Sus scrofa: one gene and its partners. The protein of the gene in region 1 purifies or fractionates together with the protein of each later gene. This does not show direct contact. Links are inferred from orthologs where the notes say so. Each region holds a gene or a part of one and is shown on either strand. Other genes may lie near its edges. The genes, in order: EIF4A2, EIF3H, EIF4G3 and EIF4G1.

The links.
Region 2: the proteins of EIF4A2 (region 1) and EIF3H purify together in Homo sapiens (affinity purification with mass spectrometry; 3 studies listed by BioGRID and IntAct, with this or other methods). This does not show direct contact. The link is inferred for Sus scrofa from reciprocal best matches to the Homo sapiens genes EIF4A2 and EIF3H.
Region 3: the proteins of EIF4A2 (region 1) and EIF4G3 purify together in Homo sapiens (affinity purification with mass spectrometry; 3 studies listed by BioGRID and IntAct, with this or other methods). This does not show direct contact. The link is inferred for Sus scrofa from reciprocal best matches to the Homo sapiens genes EIF4A2 and EIF4G3.
Region 4: the proteins of EIF4A2 (region 1) and EIF4G1 purify together in Homo sapiens (affinity purification with mass spectrometry; 6 studies listed by BioGRID and IntAct, with this or other methods). This does not show direct contact. The link is inferred for Sus scrofa from reciprocal best matches to the Homo sapiens genes EIF4A2 and EIF4G1.

The regions. Positions count from the first base shown.
Region 1 is NC_010455.5:124,580,158-124,588,790, forward strand, and holds the start of EIF4A2 (eukaryotic initiation factor 4A-II), read left to right. Parts: upstream 1-2,904; 5' UTR 2,905-2,939; coding exon 2,940-2,968; intron 2,969-3,795; coding exon 3,796-3,841; intron 3,842-3,927; coding exon 3,928-4,060; intron 4,061-4,337; coding exon 4,338-4,477; intron 4,478-5,228; coding exon 5,229-5,397; intron 5,398-5,517; coding exon 5,518-5,627; intron 5,628-5,872; coding exon 5,873-6,016; intron 6,017-6,325; coding exon 6,326-6,463; intron 6,464-6,700; coding exon 6,701-6,790; intron 6,791-7,012; coding exon 7,013-7,092; intron 7,093-7,521; coding exon of another isoform or gene 7,522-7,531; exon of another isoform or gene 7,532-8,344; coding exon 8,345-8,489; 3' UTR 8,490-8,633. UniProt on the Homo sapiens protein: ATP-dependent RNA helicase which is a subunit of the eIF4F complex involved in cap recognition and is required for mRNA binding to ribosome.
Region 2 is NC_010446.5:22,050,204-22,057,199, forward strand, and holds the end of EIF3H (eukaryotic translation initiation factor 3 subunit H), read left to right. Parts: intron 1-1,728; coding exon 1,729-1,861; intron 1,862-3,247; coding exon 3,248-3,345; 3' UTR 3,346-3,480; downstream 3,481-6,996.
Region 3 is NC_010448.4:79,376,548-79,385,169, reverse strand, and holds the start of EIF4G3 (eukaryotic translation initiation factor 4 gamma 3), read left to right. Parts: upstream 1-3,131; 5' UTR 3,132-3,312; intron 3,313-3,661; 5' UTR 3,662-3,833; intron 3,834-8,622. UniProt on the Homo sapiens protein: Component of the protein complex eIF4F, which is involved in the recognition of the mRNA cap, ATP-dependent unwinding of 5'-terminal secondary structure and recruitment of mRNA to the ribosome. Functional homolog of EIF4G1.
Region 4 is NC_010455.5:122,217,948-122,225,043, forward strand, and holds part of EIF4G1 (eukaryotic translation initiation factor 4 gamma 1), read left to right. Parts: intron 1-2,314; coding exon 2,315-2,413; intron 2,414-2,519; coding exon 2,520-2,654; intron 2,655-2,773; coding exon 2,774-3,137; intron 3,138-6,786; coding exon 6,787-6,971; 3' UTR 6,972-7,096.

The DNA of each region.
Region 1 (8,633 bases):
TATTTTTTTCCTTTCTTTCAACTCTATTATTATCTTTGCCTATCACTATGCAAATGGTTTTAAAATTATTGTGAAGAATGTGGCAATGAGTGCTACCCTCTAAATTGCTCCAGTGGACATTGCCTACATTCAAGCAGAATCTAGCCTCTAATTTCCTCCAGCCACTGAATAATAAAGAGGAGAATAACCCTGTTTCGATCCAGTTTTTAAACACTTATAGATGGAGGGACACCATGGATTATCCTGTGTTTACTAAATAATAAGTGACATTAATAAGTAATAAGAGAATTAAAGACCTAAAACACATATCCTAACAGGCTTTTGCATATCAATAGATTACCAAGAAACTGCTTTAAATGCATAGCTATCATTTCAAATCAACTGATGGCCTTAAAATAATGTTAGATTGGCAAGATGACATAACACGCCCTGAATGGTAAGAACACATGGTACTCTCTACATTAAGACTTCACTACCAAATATAAAGCATACTCTTTTAATGGAGCTCCCCTTATGGCTCACGTTAAGGAGCTGACTAGCATCCATGAGGACTTGGGTTCGATCCCTGGCCTTGCTCAGTGGGTTAAGGATCTGGCGTTGCTGTGGCTGTGGCGTAGGCCAGTGGCTACAGCTCCGATTCGACCCCTAGCCTGGGAACCTCCATAGCCTCAGGTGCGGCCCTGAAAAAGATAAAAACAAACAAACAAACAAACAAAAATGAACCAAAAAAAACCCCACACTCTTTTAAGGTTTTGTTACTCTTTTCCATGTCATACTGACAAATCTGTACTAATTCCTTGATTCCTTTGGTGAATGTTGGCTTACAGTTGCTAGATGGGTTTACAATTCGTCAGCGGAGGCTATTGAAGGGCAGAACTAAACTAGATGGCTCACGTAGTGAAAGAAGCAGAATTTTAGCATTGTTTGCAGTGTAAATGGCCTCACATGCTCCAGGTTAGCACGGAAACGTTTGTCCTTGACCTAGAGGTGGCTATCTAATTTTAGATCTCAGGTAAGTAGAAAAGTTTCTTTTAACAGTGAGAGTATGCTCTGTGTTGATATGCAAAACTTTGTTAATGTGTATGTTTTCTTTGGATCTTTATCTCACTTTTTACTTACTATTAAGTACTTAGCAAATGTGGTAAGCACAGCATTTATTAGAAATACATTGTAGAGCTGCAGGCAATGTATCCGGATTTTTGCTGGATTTTGGATTAGGAAGTTTTTCTTTGACCTAAACCCGGAGTTTGGCCCTTGATTATTTCCTGTTAAAGAGACTCTGGAAATCCCCCATATTATGAAACAGTAGCTAGACCTAAAGAAAACATTCAACAATTAACACCTAATTGTTGATTGACTTCACCCTATAGACTCAAGTGGACTAAGTTGTTGGCTACTTTTCTGATTTAGTATTTCCTTCAGTTTCCTGGATCCCAGGAGATTTTTAGTAGATTTTGGATGAGCCAACAAGGATTTCTGCTTTCTATTCTCAGACAATGTATGGCATTATCACAAATTTGGACTTGAACATTATAAAGGGATGGTTAAGGAGCAGCATCACTAGACTGCAGGCGAAGACACTGTCATCTGGGTATTAGTTCTTGTCAGTTTCTGGCACAACAATTTTCAAGCAAATGATTTTTTTTTTTTTGGAAAAAATGTGGCATTTAGAAGCAAGCATCATACTGAATATAGTACACAAATATAGAAAATTAAGTCATTTTTCCTGTTATCAGACTTTATGTTGGCAGTCTGATTTAATGGTAAAAGGTTTTCTTGAGTAATTGTGATATTTTGCAGTATGGGTAGGATTGTATTTCAAAGTTAAATGACTATATATATTAATTTTTGTTTTGTTTTTACTAATGAGTATGGGTTAGGGCTATAGTTGAAAGCCTCTGGAGCTTTAAGGGTTACAATGCTCTCAATATCAATAAATCAACATTCATTATATATAAGCAATTAAAATTCAAAAAGCCTTTTGGAAAAAAAAAAAATGACCGGAAGCAAAACTTATGTAGTCCCAAAGCGGCACGGAGCTGTACTTGCCAGAAGCATCCACTTAAATTCCTGAATTACAGGAAAAATTACCCTTCTATTTGCCAGTTTACAATGATTTTATCAGGCATTGCTCACACCTGTTAAAATTTATAACCTTTATTTTTAAAAGGCAGTGAGAGAAGAGGCAACATAAGAAAGGAGTTGGCTACTCCAGAGACAATTTGCAGAGGACCCTACACATTTCTTCTCGCCCTGCACGATGTACGGTAAAGCGGATCTCCTGTGACACGCTGGGCGGCCGACATTTTCCGCAGCGCGAGTTTCACACTGTCAAGGTCTGTATGGATGTTAAACGCTCGTGTCAAAGGCCAGGCGGCTCTTTACCTTCGCGTTAAGTAGCGGCGCGAACAGGCGGAATAGCCCGATTGCCCTCCAGTGCGGAGTATGGCCGTGCCTACACCTTCCGCACCGAGCACGGCGAGCACAGCGAGGTTCCCTGGCTCGCCTGCGGAGAAACCGGGGCCACCCAGCTTCCAAGGGGCCCCGAGCTTCCGCCTCCCGGTCCTGCCCGGCGCCCCGGCCGCCTCTGCTCGAGGGACGCGGAAACCCCGTAGGAGCAGGGCGGGCAGGGAACGCGAACCTAGCTACTGCTTGCTGCAATATTCTTCCGCCGCGGGTCAAAGAGTCCCAACCTTCCCCCAGGGTCCTGGGATTTTCAACAACCCTGGAATATCGACACATAATCAAATTTGAATTTTCTTAATGATTTGCTTCGAATATTTTCTGAGATAAGCATCCCAGGATCACAATTTTGTGACTGGCCGAAGAGCGACAGTAAAATTCCTCCGCGGAAAACGGGTTCCGGCCGCGAGCCTATAAAAAACGGGTGGTGCGGCCCGGCTGTCTTTTCAGTCGGGCGCTGAGTGGTTCTTTGGATCATGTCTGGTGGCTCCGCGGATTATAACAGGTATGGCGCTCTCTCCGGTGGTTTTCTATGGTATGGTCCTAAGGCGCCAGAGGAGATGGTAGTAGGCGGTGAGCAGGAAGAGAAGCCCTGGTTCATAGGCGTTGCCTTGGGCCACGGTACTCCTGTGTCCTTCGAGAAGCTTCCATGAAGTGTAGGGCCCGGGTTGTGGGGAGACGAGACGAGGGTAGGAAAACGGGGTGGTTAAAGCGTGTCTTTCCCCGAAGGCGCATTTGAATCGCAGCCGCCCCCCTGCCCCTGCGGAGCCCGGCGTTTAGTGAAAGCCATGGCGCAGCCCGCGGTTGATAGAGTCTAATGGGGCTCGGAGGTTTATTCGCGGCCAGCGGCGCGGCTTGGGCGCGCTAGACGGTGGTGGGGTGGGGGGCAGGACGGCGACGGCGCCCACTGCCCGCGGCTGGAGGCCGGATGGGGCCGCGCCGGCCACGGGGTCCCAATGAGCCGTTGGCTCGCCTCTCCAGGCCTCGGCCCGCGTCAATCACCCCGGCTTGCGCAGTGTTAGGGGCGGAGCTCAGCGCGTGGAGCTCTCGCGAGACGGTCCGCCGCCGAGGGGAGCGCCTGCGCTCGGGCTTGGAGGGGGAGGGCCGGCGTCGGAGGGGCCTTTCCGGGTGTCCTCAGGTCCTAACCTTTGAGCGGGCGCGCGGGACATTGTGTGCCCTGCGGCATCAGCTTCTTCTGCGGCTTTGGGAAGTGGACTCGTGCAGGGGAGGGCGACCTCAAGAGACCGGTTGTGAAAGCGCTTTTTCGCCCATGTGCAGTTGAAGTGGGTTTGGGGAAGGGATTTTCTCTAACTGCAGTGTTTTTGTTGGCAGAGAACATGGCGGCCCAGAGGGAATGGACCCCGATGGTGTCATCGAGGTAAGAAACGTGTGTGGAATTTGAAACTCTGGGAAGGTAAGTGTGTTCGTCCCATTTATTCCTTTTTTTTTTGCCCAAACTTTCAGAGCAACTGGAATGAGATTGTTGATAACTTTGACGATATGAATTTAAAGGAGTCTCTTCTTCGGGGCATCTATGCTTACGGTTTTGAGAAGCCATCAGCTATTCAGCAGAGAGCTATTATTCCTTGTATTAAAGGTAAAAGAATTCGGCTGTTTTTAAAAATGAATTCACTCTTCTGCATAGACCTGGACCGTAAAAGGGAACGTATACCTTCTGGGGGACTAGCACCTATTTGTATTCCAAAAAGTGAAATGATGGCAATCATCTTTCGGGACTGACCTGAAATGAAGAGAATACTCATTGCTGATCACTTGATTATTTGGGCATAATTATGTTCCAAATGGAATACATGGTGTGACTAGAAGTGACGGTTTGCTGTGGGATCGGTAAATATGTATCCTACTTTTTTTAGGGTATGATGTGATTGCTCAAGCTCAGTCAGGTACTGGCAAGACAGCCACATTTGCTATTTCCATCCTGCAACAGTTGGAGATTGAGTTCAAGGAGACCCAAGCACTAGTATTGGCCCCCACCAGAGAACTGGCTCAACAGGTATTGATAGTGTAGTTCAAAAAAACTGCTTGCGTGTTGCATAGGTTTCAGGTTTCACAACTGTGGAGAATTTAAAAGCCTAGTATAAATTGGTCCTACAGAGCCCTCCTTTTAACTGTCCATGCATGCAGGGAGTTATTGTTGAAAGTTAAACAGGAACTGGGTGTGCAGGTATGGTTTGCAAGGTTGTGTAACAGATTGAGAAACTGAAGATTTCTGTTCAGGCTGGACTAGATCTTTTCTCATTTTAAGTTTGAATCCAGTTGTGCAACATGAAAGCTGCAGTGACATGTTCATTCATTTGACTGTCTCAGTATGTGATACATCTGTTGCATGCTGCGTTTTCAAAGCTCACTACTATATTGGCTTTGAAGTAAACCTTGCTAATACACTTGTAGTTGTTATTAAGGTCAAGATTATATGCTGCAGTACTTTGCGGGAAAAAGTTTGTTAATGATGATAAATCTTATTTACTCCTTCCTGCACAATACTAATGTAGGAAATGTTTTTCACTCTAAATAACCTGGTTGGTATCTGGGCAATAGGATCCCAAGTTTTGACAAGGCACAAGATATTTCAGTGAAGTTTATCCTGACAGTTATATCTGTCTGCATTTTTTTCAGCTTGAAAGTAGTTAGGTGCTCTGCATGCATTAAAGCTGTTTGCAGACCACATACTTGTCAATATGCTTTGGAAGTTTAGTCACAGCATGTAATGCTGCTGGATGATAATTAACGCTTTTGGCTTTCAGATCCAAAAGGTAATTCTGGCACTTGGAGACTATATGGGAGCAACTTGTCATGCCTGCATTGGTGGGACAAATGTTCGGAATGAAATGCAGAAACTGCAGGCTGAAGCACCACATATTGTTGTTGGTACACCAGGGAGAGTGTTTGATATGTTAAACAGAAGATATCTTTGTAAGTATTACTCCCTATTAGTATAGTTTGTTGGAGTATAGATTTTTTTTTTTTTAACTCTTAGGAATCAATAACATGCCTGATAGTCTAGAGATAATAGTACGACTTTATTTTTAACAGCTCCAAAATGGATCAAAATGTTTGTTTTGGATGAAGCAGATGAAATGCTGAGCCGAGGGTTTAAGGATCAAATCTATGAGATTTTCCAAAAATTAAATACAAGTATTCAGGTGAGCTTTATTTTCCCTCATTTTCCTGTAATAGCTGGAGGTTAGGTTAATGCAGGTACTGTTACAATACAACTGAAGTGTTCTATTGTCATTCCCCCTGCTTAAAGTAATTGATGCATAACTATCTCCGTTTAGCACAATGTCTTGCTAAGACAGAGACGCTTGGCCTCAAACATTTTTTCCCTTGAGTATTGTGAGAGTTGGAATTGTGGGATGTGTGACAGTTCAATTATTGTCTTTTAAAGGTTGTGTTGCTTTCTGCCACAATGCCAACGGATGTATTGGAAGTGACCAAAAAGTTCATGAGAGATCCAATTCGAATTCTGGTGAAAAAGGAAGAATTGACCCTTGAAGGAATCAAACAGTTTTATATTAATGTTGAAAGAGAGGTAATTTGTCTAATTGTAAAAAATTGTAGCCAGGTTTTTTTAACCTTCTTGTATAAGCACTGTGCTAAAATTACAGAAACTAGGATCACATCTTGGTTTTTGTAATAATGCTAGCAGAGTACACACAAGAAGAAGAGTAACTGCACTAGATTGTAAAGACTGGGGTGGACCTCTTTCTTAATGTCCAGTGTCCTTTGTCTTAACGTTTGGTGCCATATATTTATTTGTAGATAGTCAAGCAATGAATTTTGAATGAATATAAGTTGGAAACAGTTCTTTTAATGACTTTTTTTTCTCGAAATACTGTAGGAATGGAAGTTGGATACACTTTGTGACTTGTATGAGACACTGACGATTACACAGGCTGTGATTTTTCTCAATACAAGGCGCAAGGTGGACTGGCTTACTGAGAAAATGCATGCCAGGGACTTTACAGTTTCTGCTCTGGTAAGATGTTCTAACCTAGTAATGATGGTTGAAGTCTTTATTTTTGTTAAAGCAGGATTTAGACTACAATATAGCTGTTAAGTGCTGTGTTGTCGTTCCCCCTGCTCAAAATAAAGTTGTTTCTTAACTATACCTGTCTGTTATACTCTGTAGCAGCCAGGGACGCTTGGTCTCATACATATTGATAAAAATTAAATGTTAATATGACTCGTGATCTTAAGGCTTATTAATTTGCAGCATGGTGACATGGACCAGAAGGAAAGAGATGTTATCATGAGGGAATTCCGATCAGGGTCAAGCCGTGTTCTGATCACTACTGACTTGTTGGTGAGTCTCTTACTGTTCTTTTTAATCTACCAAAAGTTTGTTTTGGGGGAAGGTTTTCTTTAATAACCTTTACCAAGTTTAGGCTATTTGGGAGAGTAAAGAAGAGACCACGCTCCACAGTGAGCTATACCATTTAGTATAGTTCATTACTATTTTGTGGCCTACATTACATAGGTGTCTAGTTTTTTAATTAGAATTTGAACATTATACATTGTATTTTAGGCTCGTGGGATTGATGTGCAACAAGTATCATTGGTTATAAACTATGACCTACCTACCAATCGTGAAAACTATATTCACAGGTGAGTAGGTGGCATCTTGATTTATTACTGTATTGGTAAAATTCATTTCGCTTTTCTACTGACTGATTTGTGTGAAAGGTAACCTCCAATCAGGGAATTAAGACAGTAACTTGGTAGGGTGTAATTGTATTTGGGAAGATTGGTCAGACACAGTGGGAAAACAGTTGTGAGTGTTGCCCAAATTGTGGACTTCATACACAGATGAGGTTGTTTTAGTTCTGTTGGTTTTAGCTTATTTTTGAGCTTTATTTTTAGTGATGCTCGTGTGTCCATGTGCTTTCTTGGTGATTTCTCTGTAGTTGGGATTTTCTTGGTGTTGTCTGGTAGCAATTTGAGCAGTCCCTGGTTTAGTTATAGTGGCTTTATCCCTAAATAAATTGAATTGTACTTTGTTATATGATGTAAAAAAAGACTTTTTAAAAAATACAGGAGTCGATAGCAGCAGTTGATGACCAGATGGCGCTCAGAAACGGCGTTGACGTAATTTAGGACGTGGAATCATAAGCGAAACAGCACACTGTTTGAATAAAGAGCGAGTCGGTATTTATATTTGTTTTTCTTTTGTCATGATTATTTGATATTTTAAGATGCTCCAGCCAAGGAATTTTGTATAGTAGCCTGTTAGGTGGTTTGTATTGTCTGGTATCTTATCAGGAAGGTTAGAAAGCTGTTTTGGAGGTAAACACGTTTGAATAATTAGAGTTTCAACGTGTGAAACTGAGCAAAAAAAAAAAAAAAGCAGTGATAAGTTTGGGTTACCATACCAAATACTTGTTTTCCCACTGGAAGAAGTAAGTTTTAGGCAGTAGTTAACCTTGCAGCATTTGTATTTACAGTTTACAGTTCCAGAAGTTGCGTCGAAATGGATTACATAACTGCTCTTTTTTGTTTTACCCTGGTGTTTTACATCTGTCCCAGGCTGACATCTGCTCTTGGCTGGCCCACTTTGGTATGGGCTTTAAATTCACTACCCCAAACACAATATACTGTCATCTGCTTTAAAAAAGTAATGCTCAAGACACCTGATAAAATCTCATTTTGCAGCCAGACAAGCCTTGAATCCTTTTGGCACTAACTGCAAAGGAAGATTTTTTTCTCTAGATATTGATTAGCAGCTAGTGCTCCAATTAGAAGCACGAACTATAACCATGATAAGTAAACAGCAGCTGATGGTTAAGTGGATCATCATGTTCAGTATTTCATGCAGCATATGAGAAACAAGTCTAATTGCTGATTTCTTTTTCTTACACAGAATTGGCAGAGGGGGTCGATTTGGGAGGAAAGGTGTGGCTATAAACTTTGTTACTGAAGAAGACAAGAGGATTCTTCGTGACATTGAGACTTTCTACAATACTACAGTGGAGGAAATGCCAATGAATGTGGCTGACCTTATTTAATTCCTGGGATGAGATAGTTTTGAATGCAGTGCTCGCTGTTGCTGAATAGGCGATCACAACGTGCATTGTGCTTCTTTCTTTGGGAATATTTGAATCTTGTCTCAATGCTCATAACGGATCAGAAATACAGATTTTGATAGCAAA
Region 2 (6,996 bases), on another chromosome or scaffold:
AAGGCCGGCCGAATGATTTTTACAGTTCCTGGAATATGGTTTTGGTCTGTATTGCTTCGAAATATTCTTAAGTTTTAATTCATAGATAGGTTGATTCTAGAATGTATATTTTTCTGAGTGTTCAGCTCCTCTGTGTTCATTAAAATGTACTGGAAACTAGGTGTTGGTGACTATGGGATTTTAAGTATAGCTAAGTCGTTTGAGAATATTTAAATTTTTTTAATATTAATGTTCATATATTTAGTGGAATTTAAAATACTTTGTTTCTACAACAAAGAATTTTAAAGACATATAAATCTATATAAAATGTCTTTTTTAATGGAAATGATGGTGGTGAAGATGGTGAAAATCTTTTTGAAACGAGGTGGGGGAAAAAACCCAGCTTGGTTCCATTCCTCTGCTGCACTTCCTATCAGATCAACTGGAGGATCAAACTGAAAACCTGTCACCCATGAGAGTTGATTCTGTGATTCTGGAAACCAACCTCAAGAGATTTTTTTTTCTTCTTCTTTTTATGGTCACATCTGTAGCGTATGGAAGTTCCCCGGCTAGGGGTGGACTCGGAGCTACAGCTGCTGCAGCTCATGGCAACGCTGGGTCCTTAAATCCACTGAGTAAGCCTAGGGATTGAACCCTCATCCTAATGGATACTAGTCTGGTTCTTAACCCACTGAGCCACAACAGGAACTCCCAAGAGGTTTTTTAAAAGAATGCTGTTATGTCTTATTTATGTTTGACATTTATTCTTACTTAGCATGTTCATAACATAACCCTTTTCAGATTTGTCTCACTTCTACTCTAATACCCATGTGAACATAGAAATATTTGCAGAGCAACTTACCCCCTTTCTATAGGAATCTAAGGACTTGAATTTTACCAGCCTATCCTGGTTTCTCATTATGCAACCTAAGGTTTTGTGTGGGATATTATTCCTCTGCTGGTATAAGCAGAAACAACTATTAGCATCTTGATTGTAATTTGAACTATAAATTTATAGGTGATCTGTACTTTCGTATGTTCCCCCACTTTCTCTGCGGAATCATAAGAAACTGGAGTTAAGTTTTTGAAGCCTTATCTGAGCTAATAGTATTCATTCTTAGCTATAGAGCTCTAGAGCACAGCAGATTATCTGTTGTTAAGAATAGTAATAGTATTTACTATCATAGTAATAATAATGGTGATATAATTGTAATATCAGCAGCATTATTGCTGTTTCTGTCAGTAGGGATAAAGTTTAAAAAATTCCCCAATGTGGTTTTTCATTGTTTAGTTAAAGTTAAGGTGAATTGTGCTTGTAATGCTGTTATTTATCCCATTGTCATAAATGGTAAAGTTACTTCCTTTCTGTCATTTAAAAAATTTTATTTTCTTTAAAAAAAAAATCTCTTGAGAGTTCCCGTTGTGGCTCAGCTGGTTAAGAACCAGACTAGTTCTTCACCACCATCGTTTCAATTAAAAAAGCTTCTTTTCTCACATAACTAGTTTTGTTTTTCCAAATCAGTAGTTGTAGACTCTGAGAGATCAGAGTGACATGAGAGTTTACAACAGAAATTTTCTTTGACTGTTGCTGTATTTAGCTTCTTACAAGCAATAGTTACCAAGGGTTTCCGTGTATAAAATCAAGATCAGAATTCAGAGCTATGGGGTTTTGCTGATCGCATAAGTGAAAGAGGTCTTTTTTCTCTCAGGTAGAGAAAAATAACCAAATATTTCCCCTGTGAATTTTAGTATCAGCAGCGCCGCCAGCAGGAGAATATGCAGCGCCAGAGTCGAGGAGAACCGCCACTCCCTGAGGAGGACCTGTCCAAGCTCTTCAAGCCGCACCAGCCCCCTGCCAGGATGGATTCACTGCTCATTGCAGGTATCATTAGTTAGGGCAGAGCACGGCTGGTTTCTTTATTCCTTAGGAAGCAGGAGACAGAGATTCCCAAGCAGAGTAAGACGTAAAAGCTAGTGTTTTTCAAATGGTTGAATGGTGAATTTGAATCTAGTATCTATAATTTCTGAAATTTAAGAATTTGTCAGACTTTGTTATTTTTCTGGTCCTTTCATTGCTTCACTTTGTCTTTATCTAGACACTTTTGAGATGGCATTATATAAACTTTCTAAAATGGGGAGGTTTTATGTGCGTCATCTTTCAGAAAAAATGTTTATCGTCTCATAATGCACAGATCATTTAGAGTAAACGCTTACTTAGATGTTCTGGCCTAGCCTTGAGCCCAGGTCTGTATGTGGCTGTTTGAATTGGAGTTTTTGATTCAAGAAGTATTATTACCAGTACTTGGACCTGTAGCAACGTGAACTTTCTCTGGGGATACTTAACATTTAACACAGCCTTAAGGTCTTATGTCTGTGTTAGAACTTGATTTTGAATATGTAACATAACATTATTGCTCTTAGTTAGGTGTAATACCTTATTTCTGTATAATGTCATTGAACAGTCATTTGTCTGTGAGAGATTTGTTGGAGTGAAAATCCTACTCAAAGAAAAGCTGATGTTACAATTTCTCAGTTCTATTGATACAGTGTTAGTATGGGGGAAATTCCAAATTCCTTTAAACTTTCTGGTATACATATAAATTAAATTTAGGAAACTGAGACGTATTACTTATTTAACGTTCAATTCAAGCAGGATTGTATTTCTTATACTTTCAAAAAACATGTTAACTGTTGCATCAGATTAGATTATTAGTTAGAGGACTTCAGAAGCAGTGATAGAGCCCTTTCTTCACATGGACTCTGCTCCTGCTCTGTCTTGGCTCTGGGGCTGTTGGGGGGGGGGGTGGCCTATTAATATTTCCAGAGCACAGACTGAAAACCCCTTTACTTGTTAACATCTGGGTCTGGCGGGCTTGGTTGGTTTGCAGTTCTGTGATTCGGTATCTCCTTTCTACCTGGCTAAGAAGAGCCAGTGCTATTTTCTCACTTGTCTTAGTATAATCCTGGTCTGATCTGCACAGTCAGTACTATTTGATTCACAGCTAACATGTGCCTAACTGCTAGTAAGTTGTAGATTTTCTTCATTCTCCGTGTAACCAAGAGTGGAAGATAGGTTATTTTTTCCAAGAACTTATATTCTTTATTATCCCTTATAAACAAATTCTTACAGACTCTTGATTCAAAACATAACAAAGTAAAATTCTGGTGATTCTGTATTATGCTGATTTTCTTGTTTGACTAGTATTCTAGGTTGTTTTACAATTTGTGGAACGTTATGATTCTCTTTCTCACTTTCCCAAATGCACAGGCCAGATTAACACTTACTGCCAGAACATCAAGGAGTTCACTGCCCAAAACTTAGGCAAACTCTTCATGGCCCAGGCTCTTCAAGAATACAACAACTAAGAAAAGGAAGTTTCCAGAAAAGGAGTTAACATGGACTCTTGAGATCACATTGGGGCGACTTTTGGAAGAAACACACTTGCATATTGAAAAGTCTTTCTAGCACATAATAATAAAATAAAGATAAAACAATCTTGACTGCTTGCTCATTTGATTTTAGACTTATTATATTTAGCTCTTGTTCTTGTTTTGCTTATACCTGTGTATTTCCAAAGATAAAGCAGGCTTGACCAGAAGCTTCTTCAGGCCCAGACCTACAGGCTCCTCCATCACCTTGTTATCTCTGGTGCCGCATCTCTGCCACTCAGCCCAATGATGCTTTTCCCCAGCGCCTGACCTGGAAGCCCCGGTTCAACTGTGGATTCTAGTACTTCATCGCTCCCGAGTGAGTGCTTCCTATGCTTACCCTGGCTGCCCTTGTCCCCAGGTCCGAAAGTGCTTGGCGAGCTCCCCACGGTCTGTCTTTTTTCTTCTTCCTGTGGCGGTAGCCCAGTCCCCATGCTCATAGGCCATTCATTGGGCATAAAAACTTAAAAAAAAAAAAATTATTTCACCAGAAGACATTATTTTGTATGAAAATGAAATTTATTCTGTGTGTATTTTTTTTCATTGAGAACTTCATTTTTTTTTTTCCATGTCTTGAAATATAATTCTGCCAAATAGCAAGTTTTATGAGTGGGGAAAGAAGAATTGGGAGACAGGTACCATATTGGGGCAAAAAAGACTATTTTAATAATTTTGTATTTGAAATAAAATAAAAAATGCTGCCATTTTTGTAACAGCACAAACCACTGAGATTTACTAGCTATGGAGGTGTGCCTATGAGACTCTTATTTGGTGATTTTCACCTTGAAGATATGGCTGATAGGAAGATGATCAGAAGGAATGGATAATGGGTAAGAAGAGTTCAGAAGTCCTTTTTTCCCAACAACATTGTTTTGGAGGCAGCTCTGGGGTCTGGTTTGATTGATCATCAGCTGGATGGCAACCTGGTTCTCTTTACCGTGTTCTTAGGTCACATAACTTCCCTGCACCTCACTCTTGATTTGGAGGGGATGCAAGGAGACATGTGTTAGCTGTAGGTGTGAGAGCCAAAGGCTTGTATGGGAAGCAGCAGTTGGTGTGGAGCAATCTCGGTGTGTACCATGACCTAGGGCACATGCTAGGTTCACTGTTCAGGAAGTTGGCTTATTAGCAGGTTTTTGCTTTTAGAAAGATCAGGCCCTTCACTACTCGAGAATTCAAGTACTTGCTCACATGTAATTAACTTTCCTAGGATAAACTCCTAGAAGCAGACTTACTGGTCAAAGGGTGTGTCAAATTCTAAGGCCTTTAACTCTGTTGCCAAATTGCCTTCTAGAAGGGGTATACTGATTTGCACTCCTGCCCATGGTGAGTCTTATTTGGGTGAACATGTATTTGAGTGTGGCTGTGGTAGTAGACAGGTCATATTGATAAACAAAGCTGGTGCCCTTGTGGATGGGATACTCCTTTGGTTCATTTCCCTGAATTCTGCTTGCCTAGATGTGGAATTTTATTGTGGAGTTAAACAAAGCACCCCTGAAGTGTCCAAGAACAAAGTGAAAGGACAGTCAGTTCAAACCTAACCTTAATTACTGTTTTCCTTATGGTGTGTGATTAAGAAGAGTCAATTATATTTTTTAAAGGGGTGATTCTTTCTTAAATTCTATATGAATACTTAGACACCTGTAGCTCAGTAATATGTGAGACATGCCTAACAGACGATTTCAGTAGTTTTTGAATTAGGAATTACTGTAGTGGGAAAAACTGTTTAGGAAAACATGTCAATGGGAATGAAATCTCCACAGTATGTAGCGTTATGGAATAGCTTCTGTTCGGCATTTGATCTGAGTGCTGTATTCTGACATTTTTCAGGAACAGATACATGTGGTTCATCTTCTATAAATATTTGCAGTTTCTTCAAGTTGAAATGAGAAAAGCTCATAAACTGAGTACAAGGTCTAATAAATCATTCACGTACCCAAGAACAAGAAGAACAGGAAAAACTAGCATGTTAATCTAATGGAAAATTAAATATTACAAGCCAAGAAAAGTAAAACCTCTTTGGTATTAACCCCATAATCATAGATAATGCTTTATTTGGTTCTAGAAAACATAGTATTATTCTCAATTGAAAATACCTGAGAGAAAAGAAGCATTAACTTGCCCAAAATACCTTATCCTTTTAGAATGGAGGTAAAGTAAACTTTTTTCTCCATTTTTGGGAGCTTGGGGATGGAGATGTGGTTATCTAATGTTAATCTAGTAATAATGAAGCATGGTGTGATTTCTCATTTACAGCACCTAAATATTTACATTTTAGTGTCTTTGAAAATGTTACTACATTGTTCACACTGTGTTTTTATAACATTCTTTGGAAAACCTATGTCAGCTTTACTTGCAGACCTTGGATATCAGAATGTTAGGAAAGAATTTTTTATTTAAATTGCAAATTCCATCTTGTAAACATTTCTCATTCAAGTTGAGTATATAATATACTGTTTATCAATTTTTTTCTTTTCGCATTAGGCATATTTTTCTGTGTTGATTCTATCATAGAAATGCTTGCTTAAAGGGGTAATACTCAAATTGGGTCAAGCCAAAAGCCTGTAAGGGCTTTCTTTGTATTTATAGAAAATGACTCAAGCGCTCATCTATAGAAAGCATGGTCAAGTCATCATTGCCAGTGGATTCCTTCTTTATTTGGCATGTATGGAAGGGGTGATGGTGGTTAGTAGATACATAATAAAGGGAAGGATGAAGATCTGAGTCTACTGATTGACAAAGATGAGAGAAAAACAATGGGTGGTTTCTGTATCCCCCAGCCTAAGAGTGTGCAGTGTGTTGTTCAAACCTGCTTGTTGAGCAGCGGCTCCCAAATGGAGTGTGAACCTCCTTGGATAGATGGGAGCAGGGCTTGATCTGACTCCAGGTTACTTGAGATAAGGAAGGAGGGATGGGGAGCCAGAGCCATTGAAAAGACAGCCTGCTGGAGCAAACCTCTGTAGCTTAATACCCATTGCCTCGAGCTTCTTTTTATATAAATGTACATTTTGTGTAATGCACCTGAAGCCTGTCTGGCTCTGGCGCGTAACTCAGGATGGCTGTCCAGAAGTTGCAGTAGTGTTTTTGGGAATACAGTCCATGGATGCAGGAATGATTCCCAAGAGACACCACCCCCAGCTTGGGGAGTTTGGGCCATTCTTTAAGTGTTCGGTCTATCTCAGATGTTACTTTTTTTGTTGTTGTTGTCTTTTTGCCTTTTCTAGGGCCGCTCCCACAGCATATGGAGGTTCCCAGGCTAGGGGTCCAACCAGAGCTGTAGACACCGGATCCAAGCTGCATCTGCAACCTACACCACAGCTCATGTCAATGCTCCGGATCCTTAACCCACTGAGCAAGGCCAGGGATCGAACCAGCAACCTCATGATTCTTTGTCGGATTTGTAAACCACTGAGCCATGACGGGAACTCCTCTTAGATGTTACTTTCAATACTTATGTCCTGCTTGTTCTTAGAGGCTTTTAAACTCACATCACTTGCCATGTGATCAGTTTATTAGAATCATGATTTGGTGGGATTGGTTTTGAGATCAGTTGCATTTTCTTTCAACTGTGAGTTAAGTAATCTGTTT
Region 3 (8,622 bases), on another chromosome or scaffold:
AAAACTCCTCCTATGGGCTAGCACTGCCTGCTCCATATGCCCTTGGCCATCTCTCCCTGTGCAGCGAGGCCTGGCCTAGGCTCCGCTGTACCCAGGGCTTCTCCAGAGTAACATCGAATTCTCTGGCAATTCATAATTCTTCTGTCCTTCAGCAAGTTTTATACCCTATTTATTGAATGCTAGATATTAGGGATATTTTAAATGACCAGAGGATGAGTAATAGCTAAAATGCATCCAACGATTACTAAGTGGCAGGGACTGGGCTAAGTTCTTTATATTTGTTGTACTCCCTTCCCTCCTCCCTCCCTCCTTTCCTTCCTTCCTTTCTGCTGTGTCCAGGACAAGTGGAAGTTCCCAGACCAGAGATCAAGCCTGCACCACAGCAGCAACCCATGCTGCTGCAGTGACAATGGATCCTTAACCCACTGCACCACAAGGGAACTCCTATTGTCTTATTTCTCATGATAGGAGGTAGCGTCTCCATTTTACGGGGTGAGAAAAACGGAGGCTTGGAGAGGTTAAGTAATTTCTCCAAGATCACACAACTAGTTAGGGGCAGGGCTGAGAATCAAATTCAGGTAGTTTGGTTATGATGGCTCACTCTGAATTGCTCAACACTGAGCTTTAAGCATCAGCTGCTGAGGGAGCCTAAAGGAGGGGTGCCTAGCTCAGCCTGGGGAGGGGGGAAAGGCTGTTTGGAGGAAGTGAGGCCTAAGCTAAGCCTTGAAGCAGGAGCAGGAATTAGTCAATGGGCTGAGAGGAAAGAGGATGGTTGGGGTTGTGGTCAGTATTACAGGCCCCAAGGCAGGGGGGAGAATGGCTTTGTTTGCAATGGAGCAAGGTTGCCGCAGCTTGAGGTTTGAGGTGGGGAGTGGCAGGATGGAAGCAGAATCCAGATCCTGGAGGGTCTTGCCTTGAGACTGGATCCCGAAGGCAATGAGAAGCTATGGAGGACTCTCAGCAGACCACTTTACAAAATCAGCTTCCTTTGTTGAAGGTGCTTTTGGCTACTATGGAGAAGATGCCCTGTAGAAGGCAATGTGGCAGATCAGAACTGAGTCAGATACCCGGGTTTGAATGACTGTTTTCACTTGAAAGTTATACAAGTTCCGTCTTCACATCTTTGAGCCTGGGTTTCTTTATTTGTAAATGGAATATCATAACCTTGAAGCGTTGCTGAGGTGAATGAGTTAATCTAAGCATAATACTTCACAGAGTTGTACCCTGGCACCCAGTAGGTGTTCAATAACACATAGCCACTCTGTGTTAGTTGGGATGTGTTGAACAGGACTAGGCTTTTGGATGAAAGGAGAGCACTCTACTATTTGACTTTGCTCCCTATAAGCCTTCCGAATGGATTGCCTGGGGCCAGAATCTTATCAGGGACTTTTACATCATTTTGCCCAAGGTCTATCCGTTTTAAGAGAGATAATGCTCATAAAGTGCTTAGCAAAGACCAGACACACAGTAATCGCCTGATGCTTGCAGCTATTAAGTGAGAAAATGAAACTAGCTCAGAAAAGAATAACAATTAAGCAATTATCAGTCTGTTATCACCCTAGTGTAAGAGGGAAGCCAAATTCTTTCCTGGGAACAGGTTTCCATTGACCTGAGGACGTCTGAGATCTGGAGAATGGCAGGAGAATCTGGGGATGGCAGGACCACTTGAGAATTTTTCTTGGAGTCAGTCATGTCTAGAAAAGAGAAGAGAATCTGATCCCAGGTAACCAGCTGTCACAGATCCAAATGGTTCAGTATTCTGGGTGATGAAGTAGTTCCTGCCTTCTGTCTGGAGATGGGGAATGATGCTTTCTTTTCAACACTAGGAACCCTCACCAGAAAGACACAGACTCATCTTCCAGATAGATGCTTTTTCCGAGAAGGAGCTTTTGGGGTTCCCAGGGACTATTAAGAATTAAGCACCTACTATGTTTAGAGCTTTATGTGAATTGAAAGAAAAAAAAATGGCAGTGTGAAGCAGTATAGCAGGAGGCAGAACCCACTCTGTAGTTGTCTCTGCCAACTACACTCTCCATGTGACCTTGGGAAAGTTTTTCCTTCCTCTTGAGCCTCAATTTTCTCAGCTCCTTGTGTCGTGTGATAGTATGAGCATCTCAGTCTCTTCATTTGTAAAATGATTACTACCTACTTCACAGGACTGCATGATAATGAATATGTGTCTGGTAACCATTATTACCTGGCTTGCTCCCTGATCTCTCTGTAATTCCTTTCTACTCAGTGTCCCTGTGCTTGGACAAGACCCCAGTTGGGGGAGGAGTGTTGCAGAGGGGGTGGGATGGTTTTGGTCGGTCCTGCTGGTGAGAAAAGGAGTTTATCAACAAGTAGGACCCAGGGAGCCGACCACTGGTCCCCGGTCAAAGGGCGCTCCTGTCTTGGGGCAGGCCTTGGAAGAATCCGTCCACAGAATCCTAAGTTAAGGTTGCTGACTAGATAAGGCAGGGCAGATCAGGTCCCCAGGCAACTTGGGAGGTGGCAAGATTCCTTCAGATGAAGGTGGATGTGAGATCCAGGTTGGCTCTGCCCTTTCCTGGCTGGGTGACCTTGGGCCGGTCACTTTTCCTCTCCCAGCCTCAGGGTGCTCTGGAAATGGGGCTCCTCATCCCACTCGCCTCTCTGAGGGGACAAGGGCGAAATGTCGACACAATGGACGGGATCAGCGTTAAGGGCCAGCGAGTGCTATTAGTTATGCTAATAGGTGCACGCGGCAGGTTCCTATCCAGCGGTTCCACTCTGGTTAAGCGGTTGCTCCCACCGTAACTGAGGTTTCTCGCCTCACCGCCTCCCGCCTCGGCGGACAGGGCTCTGCGGACCGCAGGCTCGAGGGCCTTTACCATTGTTCTCCGAGGTGGGCGGCAGGGGAGGGCTCTCGCAGACCAGACCTCGCCTTTGGTCTCTCCCTCCGCCCCGCACCCCGGCTGCAGCGAGCCTGGGAAGCCCCCTTGCCGATCTTTCCCGAGGAAGCGAGCCAGTTCCAGAGAGCGCCCGAACGGCGGCCGAAGACGCCCCCGAGCATTTCCGAAGAATCCCGACCGCTCCCAGTCTCCGGAAAGAGCCGAAGGGGCTTCCCACCCTCGGCCTCCCGAACCATTCCGAAAAGGCCCGAAGTTTTCCGAGCGGCCGTCCTGCCGGACTGCTGGAGGCGGCCGCAGCGCCATGTTGGATGCTCTGCTCGTTGAGTGAAGAAAATCCGCCGGCATCGCCTGAGCCCCGCTACCGAGAAGGGCGCCGCTTCCCCCGGGGAGGGGGATAAAGACCCCCCGCCGCCGGCCCATGAGGATATTGCCGTGAAAGGTCCGGTCTCTCCGCCTCCTGCCCCCGCCGGGTCCGGCCCCCCCCCGGGGTCGCGTTGTCACGGAGACCGGCAGCCGGTGGTGCTGGCCCGCGGGGCGGCTGCTGCTGCCGGCGGCGGCGGCGGCGGCGGCGGCGGCGGCGGCGGGCGTGTGTGACCGGCCCCGGCCCCCTCCTCCTCCTCCTCCCAGCCTCCCCCCGGCCCCCGCTCCCGCCGCCTCCCCGGGTCTGCCCCCATCCCGCCCCCCCGCTGCCCCCGGCCCCTGCACCCCGGCGCGCCCGGTCCCGCTCTGGGGGGGTTGGTGGCTTCGCTTTGCCATGAGTTTACCGCAGAAACCGGCTCTGAAATCAGGCTCAGCGGCTGCAGCAGGAACCGGACCCGGCACCGGAGCGGCGGCGGCGGCGGCGGCAGCAGCGGTACCGCCTCCTCACCCGGCGGCAGCAGCGGCGGCGGCGGCGGCGGCGGCGGCAGCGGCCCCTCCTCACCCGAACATCAGGGCCCTCCAGACCCAGGCGCCCCAACAGTATCCTTTTCACCTTCCTGCCGGCCGTTCGGCTCTCTTCGTCGCAGACCAGGGGGGCTGAGGCCCCTCCGGGAACCCTCCTGCCGGCAGCCACAGCCCAGCCGGGGAAGGGACTATTCCTTCAGCCCACGCACCCGGCTTGGCCGGAGCTTTTGGGGTGACCCGGCAGCAGCACTGCGGGGGACCCCGGGACCCTCTGCACTACTGTGAAAACTAGCTCCGTCGGCCTTGCTTCCGCAGCCCTTCCCTTTTGGAGCTGGGGACCCTTCCCCCTTCTCGCCTCTCCTCCCCACCCCCCCCCCCTTTATTAGGCCGAATTTGCTGGTGCCCGGGACCAGCCCTGCAGGGAAGGCTTTTCTCTGATTGTTGTGAGGGCTACACCCTCCTCCTCATCTCCCTTCAGCTCTCCCTGCAGCGGGGCATAGTGGGCTTCCCTAAATATTATTAATACCTAAGAAACTTTATTGGTAATTTTACTGTTTGAAACTAAACTCAGCTGGTTCCGGAGGTAAGTTGGATTTTAAATCTATGGCGAAATTTTGCGGAAAGCACTCCCTCTGGCTAATGTTTTTTAGCGATTGGGAGAGTTGTGATGTGGTTTGTGGTGGAACGCGATCTGAGGAGGAAATGTTACACCGGACGCTTCCCTGTCTTTGACCTTTTTTAAAGGAAGAGGAAGTTAACTGACATTACCCATCACCCCCAAAAGTCTCACTTCTTGGAAGGCTCGTGTTATGCTGATTGTTTTTAAAGGGCTTTAATTTACTCTTCATAGGCCTCATGTCTGGAGGGTGCCAGGGCTCCTGGAGGAAAGTCTAGTATTGAATGTGTCTAATTTCATGTTATTTGCTCGATTGTAGAATTTTTGGACAGCTTTGATTGGAAAGACTTGGTGACGAGGTATTTTAGTTAAAAACCAGCGGGTGAAGGTAAAACGTTGAGTTCATGAATTCCACGGAGATTTAGAGAGGTATTATTACCTACCTGAGAATAACATTTCATCATGCACCCCTCCCCCCCAATCCGTTGTATTTGTGTAAATCAATAAATAATCATTGGATGGTAGATGTGTTGTGTTTTTGTGTTCGTGTCATTGTGTGTTTGACTTTTAGAGTAGGGTGTTTGAGCAAATAAGCAAATGCGAAACTAACTGCTGTGAGGTCCACAGATTATTTCACGGTCTGTAGTTTGATTCTTGTCTGTATCCATTACTTTGAGAAGGGAAAGGTATCTCCCTTCTAAAGTCATTTCAGGTCATTGTTTTGGTTTCTTTCAAGTGTCATTTTCTCTTTTCTTTGAATGTTGTTATCCACATTTTTTTCAATCCAAGCAGTGTGGCGCAGAGTAAGATAAATTCCATTCCAGTGTGATGTGTGTACTGATTTCATAATGTTAACTGCATGATTCTGTTCAATTAAGAATTGTTCACCGGTGAGAATGGTTAGTGATATCTTAGTGTGCGTTGCCCATGGAAAATCTAGTTAGCTTTGATCAGTATCCCTAGAGGCTTTAACTGTTGGGGGAAAAGTTTGGCTGATAAGCCTACTTCAAGGTGAAGTTCAGTGCTGCATCTCTGAAATGTATCTTTACTTAATGGTTTGTGAGTTAAATTCCTTTCTTATTTTATTTTATTTTGTTTTATTTTTTTTGGGTCTTGATTGCCCAAACTTGGTTAGGGCTGTAAGTTTCTATGCTGTGCCACCAAGTAAGTTATTCATTACCTGCATCTTGGAGCTGTTTTGGAAATTCAAACAAATGAAATGAGGACCATACTATGTCTTCTTGAATATAAGGTGATGAGGACCAAAGTGCTGAATATGACAGTGCTTGGTGAGTTTTGTGGTTATTTGGACACAAAGAGCTGTGACTTCAGTGTGTCAAGTGAGTGTGCTTTTTCTCAATGCATTTGACAGGAAGGGCATATAAAAACTGAATTGGTTGCAACATAAAAGTAGTTACTGATTTGGCAACAGTTGTTAAAGGGGGTAAATTTAAGATGGAATTTCCTATGGGAATACTTTTTATACTTATGTGTAGTAATATAGGATACTTAGTTTTATGTGGCTTTAAGTTTTTACTTTGCCACTTTGCCTCAGGTCATCAAAGTTAGAATTTAATTTTCTTCTTAAGGCATTTCACACTTTTATTACCTTTTCTTTGCTTTATGCATTGAAAGGTTACAGTTGCTAAAATCGAATTGCTTTTATAGTAAATCCAGTATAGATTTCATTAGAACAACCAATGGTGAACAGTTATCAATGGCAATGGGGAATTGGTTAAAAATGGATTAAATAGGGCAATTTTGCTTCTGTACACTGAGGGTATGAGAATTTGTATTTGACAAAGTGATTATTGCATGTTAAGTTGATAAATATTGAAGCATTCAGGCTGGAGTGTGAAGTTGGAGTTGCTCTTTCTATAGCTTGATTAACTCTCCAGTTCCTCAAAATATATGGGTGTGGGTGCAGTAGTGGTTTTTTTTTTTTGTTTTTTGTTTTTTTTTTTTTTTTTGACTGCACCCTCAGCATGTAGAAGTTCATGGACCAGGGATCGAACCCATGTGACGGTAGAGACTTGTGCCACAGCTGCGGCAACACCAGATCCTTAACCTGCTGCACCACAAGGGAGCTTCATTGTTTGAATTAATAAATTTAGATAATATTTTAAATTTGTAAAAATGTGAGGAGATTCATGTAACAAGATGTCCTTTATTTGTGCTTAGTGTTCAGGTGACAAATCAGAAATAACAGTGAATTTAGGTATTCCCTGGTGGCTCAGCAGGTTAAGGATCTGGCATTGTCCTAGTACAGCTCTGGTTACAGCAGTGATGCAGGTTCAATCCCTGGCCCAGGAACTTCTGAAGGCTGCAGGTGTGGCCCCCTTAAAAAAGTTAAAAAAAAAAAAAAAAGTGATGGTGAATTTGAATTTAAGTTTAAATGGGGAGTTCACATCGTGGCATAGCAGAAATGAATCTGATTAGGAACCATGAGGTTGCGGGTTCAATCTCTGGCCTCACTCAGTGGGTTACGGATCTGGTGTTGCCCTGAGCTGTGGTGTAGGTCACAAATGTGGCTCAGATCCTGCATTGCTGTGGCTGTGGCCTAGGCCTGCAACTATAGCTCCAATTAGACCCCTAGCCTGGGAACCTCCATATGCCACGGGTGCGGCCCTAAAAAGCAAATAAATAAATAAATAAATGGAACCTTCTTAGGCATCAGTATGGCTTGGCAGACTGTTAAGGCCATTTCAGGTAGAGGCCTATGACTGTTGAGAGGCTAGAGAAGGGACCAGCAAGGGATGGAGCATGCTGGAGGGTGGGCAGGGGTGATGGCGGATGAAAGAAGAAAATAAACCCTGATATAAAAAAGTGCTAATGGCAAGGGAGAAATACGTTTAGCGTTTTCATAATATAATCCAGTATGAATAGTTTATGAAACTGACACGTCAGGATACTTGCCTTGAGATTTGCTCACCTCAGCTTCTCAGTATGAGGTTTCAAAAGGCTTTATTGAGAATCTCAACAGTGTTCTTAACCTTTTCTGGGTAACAAACAACTTTGACATTTTGTTGAAAGCTTATAGACCCTCCACAGAAAGTTGTCCATGCACAGAAAATCTTCCTTATATTTCCAGAGAGTTCTTGGGTCCCCGTTAAAAGCCTTGTTCTTTAAATGCAAATTGCTCACTCTTGAGATAATTAAAGATAAATGAGTTTGAATTTAGGTGCCCAAATAGTTCTGACTTAAACAGAATAATTTTGCAGTCTGTTATGAATACACAGTGTTCTATTTATATGGGAAGACTTCAGGATGTAATTTCTCTCAGGGCTGCTGACAGTTCTGGGGAGTCTAGTTACTGTTTGGGGGCAGTTGTTTGGGTTAAGAAAATCAGAGCAGTGGGTTCTTTAAAGAAACTAAATTTGGTAAAGGCCTGTTATGACCTGAAAATGACTTGTGTCTTCAGCTATTTTGTCTTAGATATGACATATATTAAAAGCAAATATTGTCTTTTTGGGGGTGTTACAATTTTCCTTTTTTTGGTATCCTGTGTTGATTTTCAGTTTTATCTTAGAGATTGAAACCAATGATGTTTGCTTCTTTTTTGCCTCCACCAAAGCTAAATCTGAATAATAACAATAGTACTCATTTATTGAGTGCCTCCTGTTTTAGGAGTCAAACATAAATGATTTTTTAAAATTCTCATGAGAACACTAATGCAGTAGGTACTATCTGTTTTTCAGATGAGGAAACTGAAGTTTAGAGAAGTTCAGTAATGTTCCCATGGTTGTCTATGTAGTATTGTCTATCTAGTAAGTGGTGGACTGCAGTTCAGACCATCTTACTGGCTCCAGAGCTTGTGAATGTCCTTTCTACTCTGCGGTGCCACTTACCAAGTCTGTGTGTGGAAGTGGAAGGAAGGATACTGTCCCTCATTTGATAGCTTGGGGAAGTCTATATACGGTAAAGGAGATCTGTGGAGCAATCTAGAAAGAAGTGACGCTGTACTTTGTTTTAATTAGTTCATAGCCGCATACTGCTAGACATTCAAAGTAGGTTATCTTTACCTCATTGAGCCTTAAAGCATAGGAACAGGCCTGCCACATTTGATTCAGTGCAAGTTTCTGCTTGTTCAGATATTAATAAGGCCTCCAGCAAAATACCTTTACAACTAGAAACAAGAACTCTCTAACTCATGCAGTGGACAGCAGTCTGTTTACTCCTAAGCCCCACCATTAACAAAGATGGATCTGTGCTTCTAGAGAGCAGATCCTCTTGGAAGGAGAGAGGAGA
Region 4 (7,096 bases), about 2.4 Mb from region 1:
GAAGTAAAGTGTGAAATAAAGTAGTTGAAATGGAGTGCCTTAAGTATTGTGAGGTTGCAAAAGGATGTCTATTTGGTAATGTTCATGACAAACTGCTTTGTGAAAGTTAATTTTGACTAGTGAGTAGAAAGGTGAGATGATGGGAAAGGCAGGTTGGGTGTGGTGCTTGGTGGTGAGCTGTTGGAAAGTAGTTTTAGGAGTTCAGCTAGAAGTTCCCATTGTGGCTTGGTGAATTAAGGACCTGACATTGTCTCTGTGAGGATGCAGGTTCGAGCCCTGGCCTCGCTCAGTGCGTTAAGTATCTGACGTTGCTACAAGCTGTGGCATATGCTGCAGGTGCAGCCATAAAAAGAAAAAAAAAAAAAAAGAGTTCAGCTACATGGAACTTGGAGGAATGAATCTTTGAATTAAGAAGTATTGTCCTTTTAGTATCATGTTAATTCTCTTAGGTAGAAATATATGCCAGGATAATTTCTGTTTCAAAGAAAAAACATTTTGAACTACTTATGTTTCTCACTGACCCTGAGGTACCACAGATTATACAATATCATATTTATGCACTATTAAGAAAGAAAAGACTGTGGTGATATTTTTAAAATGTGAGGAGCTCCCTTGTGGTGCGGTGAGTTAAGGATCTGGCATTGTCACTGCAGTGACCTGGGTTCCTGCTGTGACATGGGTTTGATCCTTGGCCTGGGAACTTTCACACATACAGGTGCAGCCAAAATAAATAAAATAAAAACAATGTATATAACTGAAGTACTTTTTGTGCAGCAGAAATTATCACAATGTTATAAAACAACTATATGTCAATAAAACTTAAAAAAAGTTTTAAAATGTGATGTGTCAATTGTGAGACAGTTCAATTTTAGTGGTGTTAAAATGGGCATTCTTTTTTTTGTTTTTTTGCTTTTTAGGGCCGAATCCATGGCATATGGAAGTTCCCAGGCTACACTGGTTGAATCAGAGCTACACCTGCCCGGCCTACGTCCACAGTCACAGCAATACAGTATCTGAGCCGCATCTGCAACCTATACCACAGCTCATGGCAACGCTGGATCCTTAACCCACTGAGCGAGGCCAGGAATCAAACCTGCAACCTCATGGTTCCTAGGTGGATTCGTTTCTGCTGCTCCATGATGGGCATTCTTAAAACCCAGGAGTTATAGTAATTTTGTCAAGGGTTTGAATATCTGTTATTGTAAAACAGTGATGCCTTCAGAATATCATGCCCCTTACAGAAAATGAACTCAGACTGCTGTTTATGTGAAGATTTTCTGATTTGTGTTGGGGATGGAAGTTATATCTGCTTCTAAAATTTTCTGGATTTGGGAACCAAATAAGCATACTTGTAAGTTGTTCTTTCCTAGTTCCCCGCTGTGGCTCAGTGGTAACAAACCCCACTAGCATCCATGAGGATGCGGGTTTGGTCCCTGGCCTCACTCAGTGGGTTAAGGATCCAGCATTGCCGTGAGCTGTGGTGTAGGTTGCAGATGTGGCTCAGATATTTGCTGTGGCTGTAGGTGTGGACTGGCAGCTGTACCTCCGATTGGACCCCTAGCGTGGGGTTGCAGGTGTGGCCCTAAAAAGAAAAAGAAAAAAAAAAGTTATTCTCTTCCATAAGTGTTTGTTACCTGAATAATGGAAAACAAAGCTTTTTTTTTTTTTTTTTTTGTCTTTGTCTTTTTTGCTATTTCTTGGGCTGCTCCCGAGGCATATGGAGGTTCCCAGGCTAGGGGTCGAATTGGAGCTGTTAGGCCTCCGGCCTACGCCAGATCCACAGCAACGCGGGATCCGAGCCGCATCTGCAACCTACACCACAGCTCACGGCAACGCCGGATTGTTAACCCACTGAGCAAGGGCAGGGACCGAACCCGCAACCTCATGGTTCCTAGTCGGATTCGTTAACCACTGCGCCACGACGGGAACTCCAAACAAAGCTATTTTAGGAAAAGAAGTGTGGAAGACTAGGATGAGTTATTTGGATTTGGTCATTGACCTTTTTGTGGTCCATTCATTCTTTGAGAATCCTGTGACAGCTAATTGACATTTTTTTGGAGGCTCTTAGGCCATCCTTCAGGTCTCATAACACTGTAGTGGATGAATTCTTGTGACTTTGGGTGATTATTTGACTGATGTCCGTGCCCAATACTAGACTGTAGGTAGGCATGGAGGGTCTGTTCCCATTCAGTGCCTCTGTGGCATCTAGGCTCCTAGTGGGCTTCCAGTGTGTATTTATTTGTTGACATTTGTGGAGCCATTGTATTCTTGGAGAGAAAAAGAGTTGCTGAGTTTTATGTTTTATGTTTTTCAGGGTCCCAAAAAGGTGGGATCACTGTGGCGAGAGGCTGGACTCAGCTGGAAAGAATTCCTACCTGAAGGCCAGGATGTCAGCGCCTTCATCACTGCACAGGTTTGTGGCTGGAGTTAGGTTCTCTCTCACATCTGGGGCCAGCCAGTCCACACCTCTTCCCTCATCTCATGAGATGCACTTACCTGCCTCCAACTCTTGCTTGCAGAAGGTGGAGTATACCTTGGGAGAGGAGTCAGAAGCCCCTGGCCAGAGGTTATTCTCCTCTGAGGAGCTGAGCAGGCAGCTGGAGAAGCTGCTGAAGGAGGGCAGCAGTAACCAGCGGGTGTTTGACTGGATAGAGGTATATTTTTCCTGGATAAAGAAGAGGTGGTTATTGATGTGTGGGTGGGGGCAGCAAGAATAGATCCTTCCAGCATAATTAACTTATAATATCTGCTCGTTGCTTTTTCTCCTGCACAGGCCAACCTGAGTGAGCAGCAGGTAGCATCCAACACATTGGTTCGAGCCCTCATGACAACTGTCTGCTATTCTGCAATTATCTGTAAGAGAAGCCAGGGAGTGGGTGGGGCAAGGGTGGGCCCAGCAGCCATGTGGAGGGAGGGAGGGAGGTTTTGGTCTTTGCCTCCAGTTCTGAACCAGGCTGAGTGCATTATTCCACTTATCCCTGTCTTCCTCCCTCTAGTTGAGACGCCTCTCCGGGTGGATGTTGCGGTGTTGAAAGCACGAGCGAAACTGCTACAGAAATACCTGTGTGATGAGCAGAAGGAGCTGCAGGCGCTCTATGCTCTCCAGGCCCTTGTAGTGACCTTAGAACAGCCCGCCAGTAAGAGCCAGGCCACAGGAGTGGGAGTGGGTTGGAGGAACTGCCAGATAGTAGGGGTAGTTGTGAAGGGGTCTCAACTCAAGAAAGGTGGGTGGTCATTGGAGCAAAATATCCCGATGGTTGAGCCCTTTCCCCTGCAACACTGGTGTCCTTACCTACAAGTGAAAGGAGTCAGACTCAGCCTTGAAGGTTAATTGACCATCCACTTTGTGCCTAGAAGTGCAGAGGTGATAAATGGTAACATTTTCTTAGTGTGGGCCCTCTGCCTGACAATAGGGCTGAGCTGCTTTTCTTTCTTTGCCTCAGTTACTTCTCACAACTGTTGTTTAGGGTAGATGGTGTTGCCCCCTTTTCCATTTTGGGAGGCTGAGGCTTAGTGTAACATGCCTGAGATTATGTATTCAGCAAATAGGCATGCGCCAAGGCATTGGGGTGGTGGCAGTGCTTAAGTCAAGTGTAGTTCTGTTGGCATGAGTCAGGTGGATGTTGGAAGATGTGTCCTGTAGGGTACTCTCTCGGGGAATATACTGAGTCAGAGAGAATAATGGAAATTGACACGTGGGAGATAAATGACAGATGGGAGGGGGGAGACTTCACAAGAAAAAACTGTATAAAGGGGTGCCTGAGGTGGAAAATATGACACAAGGTAAAAACTGTTGAAGGAGGAAGACCAGGGTGGGAAGCACAGCACCTAGTGTATGTGAGGCAACATGGGTAGAGAGATGGACATGGTCAGGTCATGCAGGGCAGTGTAAGTCATGGGATAGATTTTGGGCTTTAACCTAAGGATGAGAAAAGGCCTTTTGTGGGTTTGTTTTTTTGTTGTTTGTGTTTTTGTTTTTGTTTTTGTTTTTTTTGCTTTTTAGGGCTGCACCTGAAGCATATGGAGGTTCCCAGGCTAGGGGTTGAATCACGGCTGCAGCTGCTGGCCTACACCATAGCCACAGCAGTGTGGGCTCCTCAATCCACTGAGTGAGGCCAGGGATTAAACCCGTGTCCTTATGGACGCTAGTCGGGTTTGTCAACCACTGAGCCCTGACAGGAACTCCTTTTTTTAGTTTTTAGATCATCCTGGCCATTAGTGGGAGGAGTGGTTTGGAGTGGGCTGAGTGTGACTATGGCAGATCAGCAGATCAGGGAGCACGTCGGTAGTGGCTTAGCCTTACTGGTGACAGTGGAGATGGGAGGAGGAGCGGGCAGACTCTAGACATACAGTACACTGGCCTGGGGAGGGCATGATGTGAGATAGGAAGCCGTATGACTCCCAGGAGAGTTTTAGCAGGTGAGGTGCCATTCCCTGGTGGGAAGGGAACATTGGGTCAGGTTGAGTTGTTTGTAGTCCTTGGTGAGGGTGAACAGAGATGTCAGTTGGGTAGATGACGTGGTATCTGAATTCATGGAGGAGGAAGAGGTCAGGGCTGGAGGCCCATCTCTTGAGTTGCTGGTACAGGACAACACACGTGCAAGTCATAAGAAGGGGGGTATTCCCGTTGAGGCTCAGTGGTAATGAACCCAACTAGTGTCCATGAGAATTCAAGTTTGATTCCTGGCTTCTCTCAGTGGGTTAAGGATCCGGCGTTGACGTGAGCTGTGGTGAAAGTTGCAGATGTGGCTCAGATACTGCGTGGCTGTGGCATAGGCCGGCAGCTGCAGTTCGGTTCACCCCCCTAGCCTGAGAACATCCATATGTTGAACTGTGGCCCTAAAAAGCAAAAAAAAAAAAAAGGAAGAAAGGAAAGAAACACACGAGGGTATGGGATTGTCCGAGGAATAGAGCCTTGAAAGGGTAGCGGTCCCACAGGTAGGGACCAAAGGAGGACAGGACCCTTTGAACAAAGGACAGAGTGATTTTTTAGGAGAGAGAGGTGGTCAGTAGTGCTAGATGCTGCTTGAGTTCCACAGGACGACGTAATTTAGGGCCTCTAGAGTGTGAAAACAAGGAGGCAACCCTGGCAGGAACATTATTTGGGGCGCAGGGGGCAGAACCTGTATTGGAAAAGACAGTGTAATACTCACTGAATCAACAAGAAAACAGCAAGTGCTGATAAAATCTTTGACAGGTCTTTTGTTTGGCCGTCAAGAAGTAGTGGCTGTAAAGGAGGTCATTTGTGTTTAGATTGGAGAAACTTGGGCTTGAAGACACACACATCATTTATCCACGGTAGAGTGGATAAATGATTGTGTAAGGTCCTTGGGGTTGGTGTGCATGGGATTTGGAGAACAGGTTTGGGATAAATGATCTGCTGTTGCCATTGCTGCGGAATGAGGGTGGGAGGCTACCCATAGACAGTGGTTGTGGATTTGAGGGTGTGCATGCCCTGAGGAGCTGTCCTGGCTTGCAGCTTCTCATAGACGGCTCAGTCATTGTTTAACCCAGGCCTGGACTCTAGATTCTCTGCTTTATTCAGAGGAAATGCATTCACTACTCAGTCTCCCTCTGCTCTTAAGAATGTCATGTTTGGAGTTCCGTCGTGGCGCAGCAGAAACCAATCCGACTAGGAACCATGAGGTTGCGGGTTTGATCCCTGGCCTCGCTCAGTGGGTTAAGGATCTGGCATTGCCGTGAGCTGTGGTGTAAGGCACAGACACAGCTCGGATCTGGTGTTGCTGCGGCGGCTACATCTCTGATTAAGACCCCTAGCATGGGAACTTCCATGTGCCATGGGTACGGCCCTAAAAAGACATGTATATATAACATGTTTGCTTTGGAAGGACTGGCAGTGTGATGTATTGGTAGTGGAATAGATTTTTTTTTTTTTGGCTTTTTCTAGGATGCACCTGCGGCATATGGAGGTTCCCAGGCTAGGGTTCTATATTGGAGCTGTAGCCACCAGCCTACACCATAGCCATAACAACGTGGGATCCAAGCTGTGTCTGTCAACTACACCACAGCTCAGGGCAACGCCGGATCCTTAACCCACTGAGCAAGGCCAGGGATTGAACCTGCAACCTCATGGTCCCTAGTCGGATTCGTCAACCACTGGGCCACGATGGGAACTCCTGGAATAGATTATATTCAGGGGTTATTCGGGTGCTTCGGAATTTGGAGTAGCTCTGGGTGAAGGAGAAAGAGGGTCAGAGCAAGGGGTGCCTGAGTTGAGCCTAAAGGAATTCACTAGGAAGGTGATAAAAGGTGAAAGAGAAAGGATATTCCTGGCAGTGGATACAGCACACACAAAGTGTTAAAGCACAGAGGTGGTGTGTATGTTTAGGAGATGTGTGGAAAGTAAAGAGAAGATTGAGAGTTTGTTGGGATCTGTAATGAGGGCCAGTGAATGTTCCAGGTTGTACCCTTGACTTTTGTTAAGAGATACATCTGAGGCTTTTGTGATTTCCTAAATTCAGGAGTACCAACTCTGCAGTTTTGCCCATTAAGTATATCATGAATGGAGAAGTTTGAAGCTGCTGAGGTGAGGCTGGGCAGGTTTCTAAGTTTTGTCCAAGTGACTCATTCTTGTGCACCGTCTCTTAGATCATGAGATTAGCGTCCTGTCAGAGACCTAGCCACTCTGGAATGGCCAGACACAAATGTCAGCATAGTGGGTCAGGGTCTTATCTCAACAGTGGAGCTTAGAGGAGGGATCCCTGGGGGGTGGGATGGGCTGGTTGTGGGCAGTATGCCTCTAACTACTGTCCTGCCTGCTTACAGACTTGCTTCGGACGTTCTTTGATGCGCTGTATGATGAGGACGTGGTGAAGGAGGACGCCTTCTATAGCTGGGAGAGTAGCAAGGACCCCGCTGAGCAGCAGGGCAAGGGTGTGGCCCTTAAATCTGTCACAGCTTTCTTCAAGTGGCTTCGTGAGGCGGAGGAGGAGGAGTCTGACCACAACTGAGAGCGGGTGGGGTCGGGGCCTCAGAGCCCCATGGACACTCGGATGGCCAAGCCAGCCGCCCGGACTGCAAGGGGGGGCGGCGGCAGCAGTGGCGGCGGCAGTGGGTGCCTGTAGTGCGATGTGTC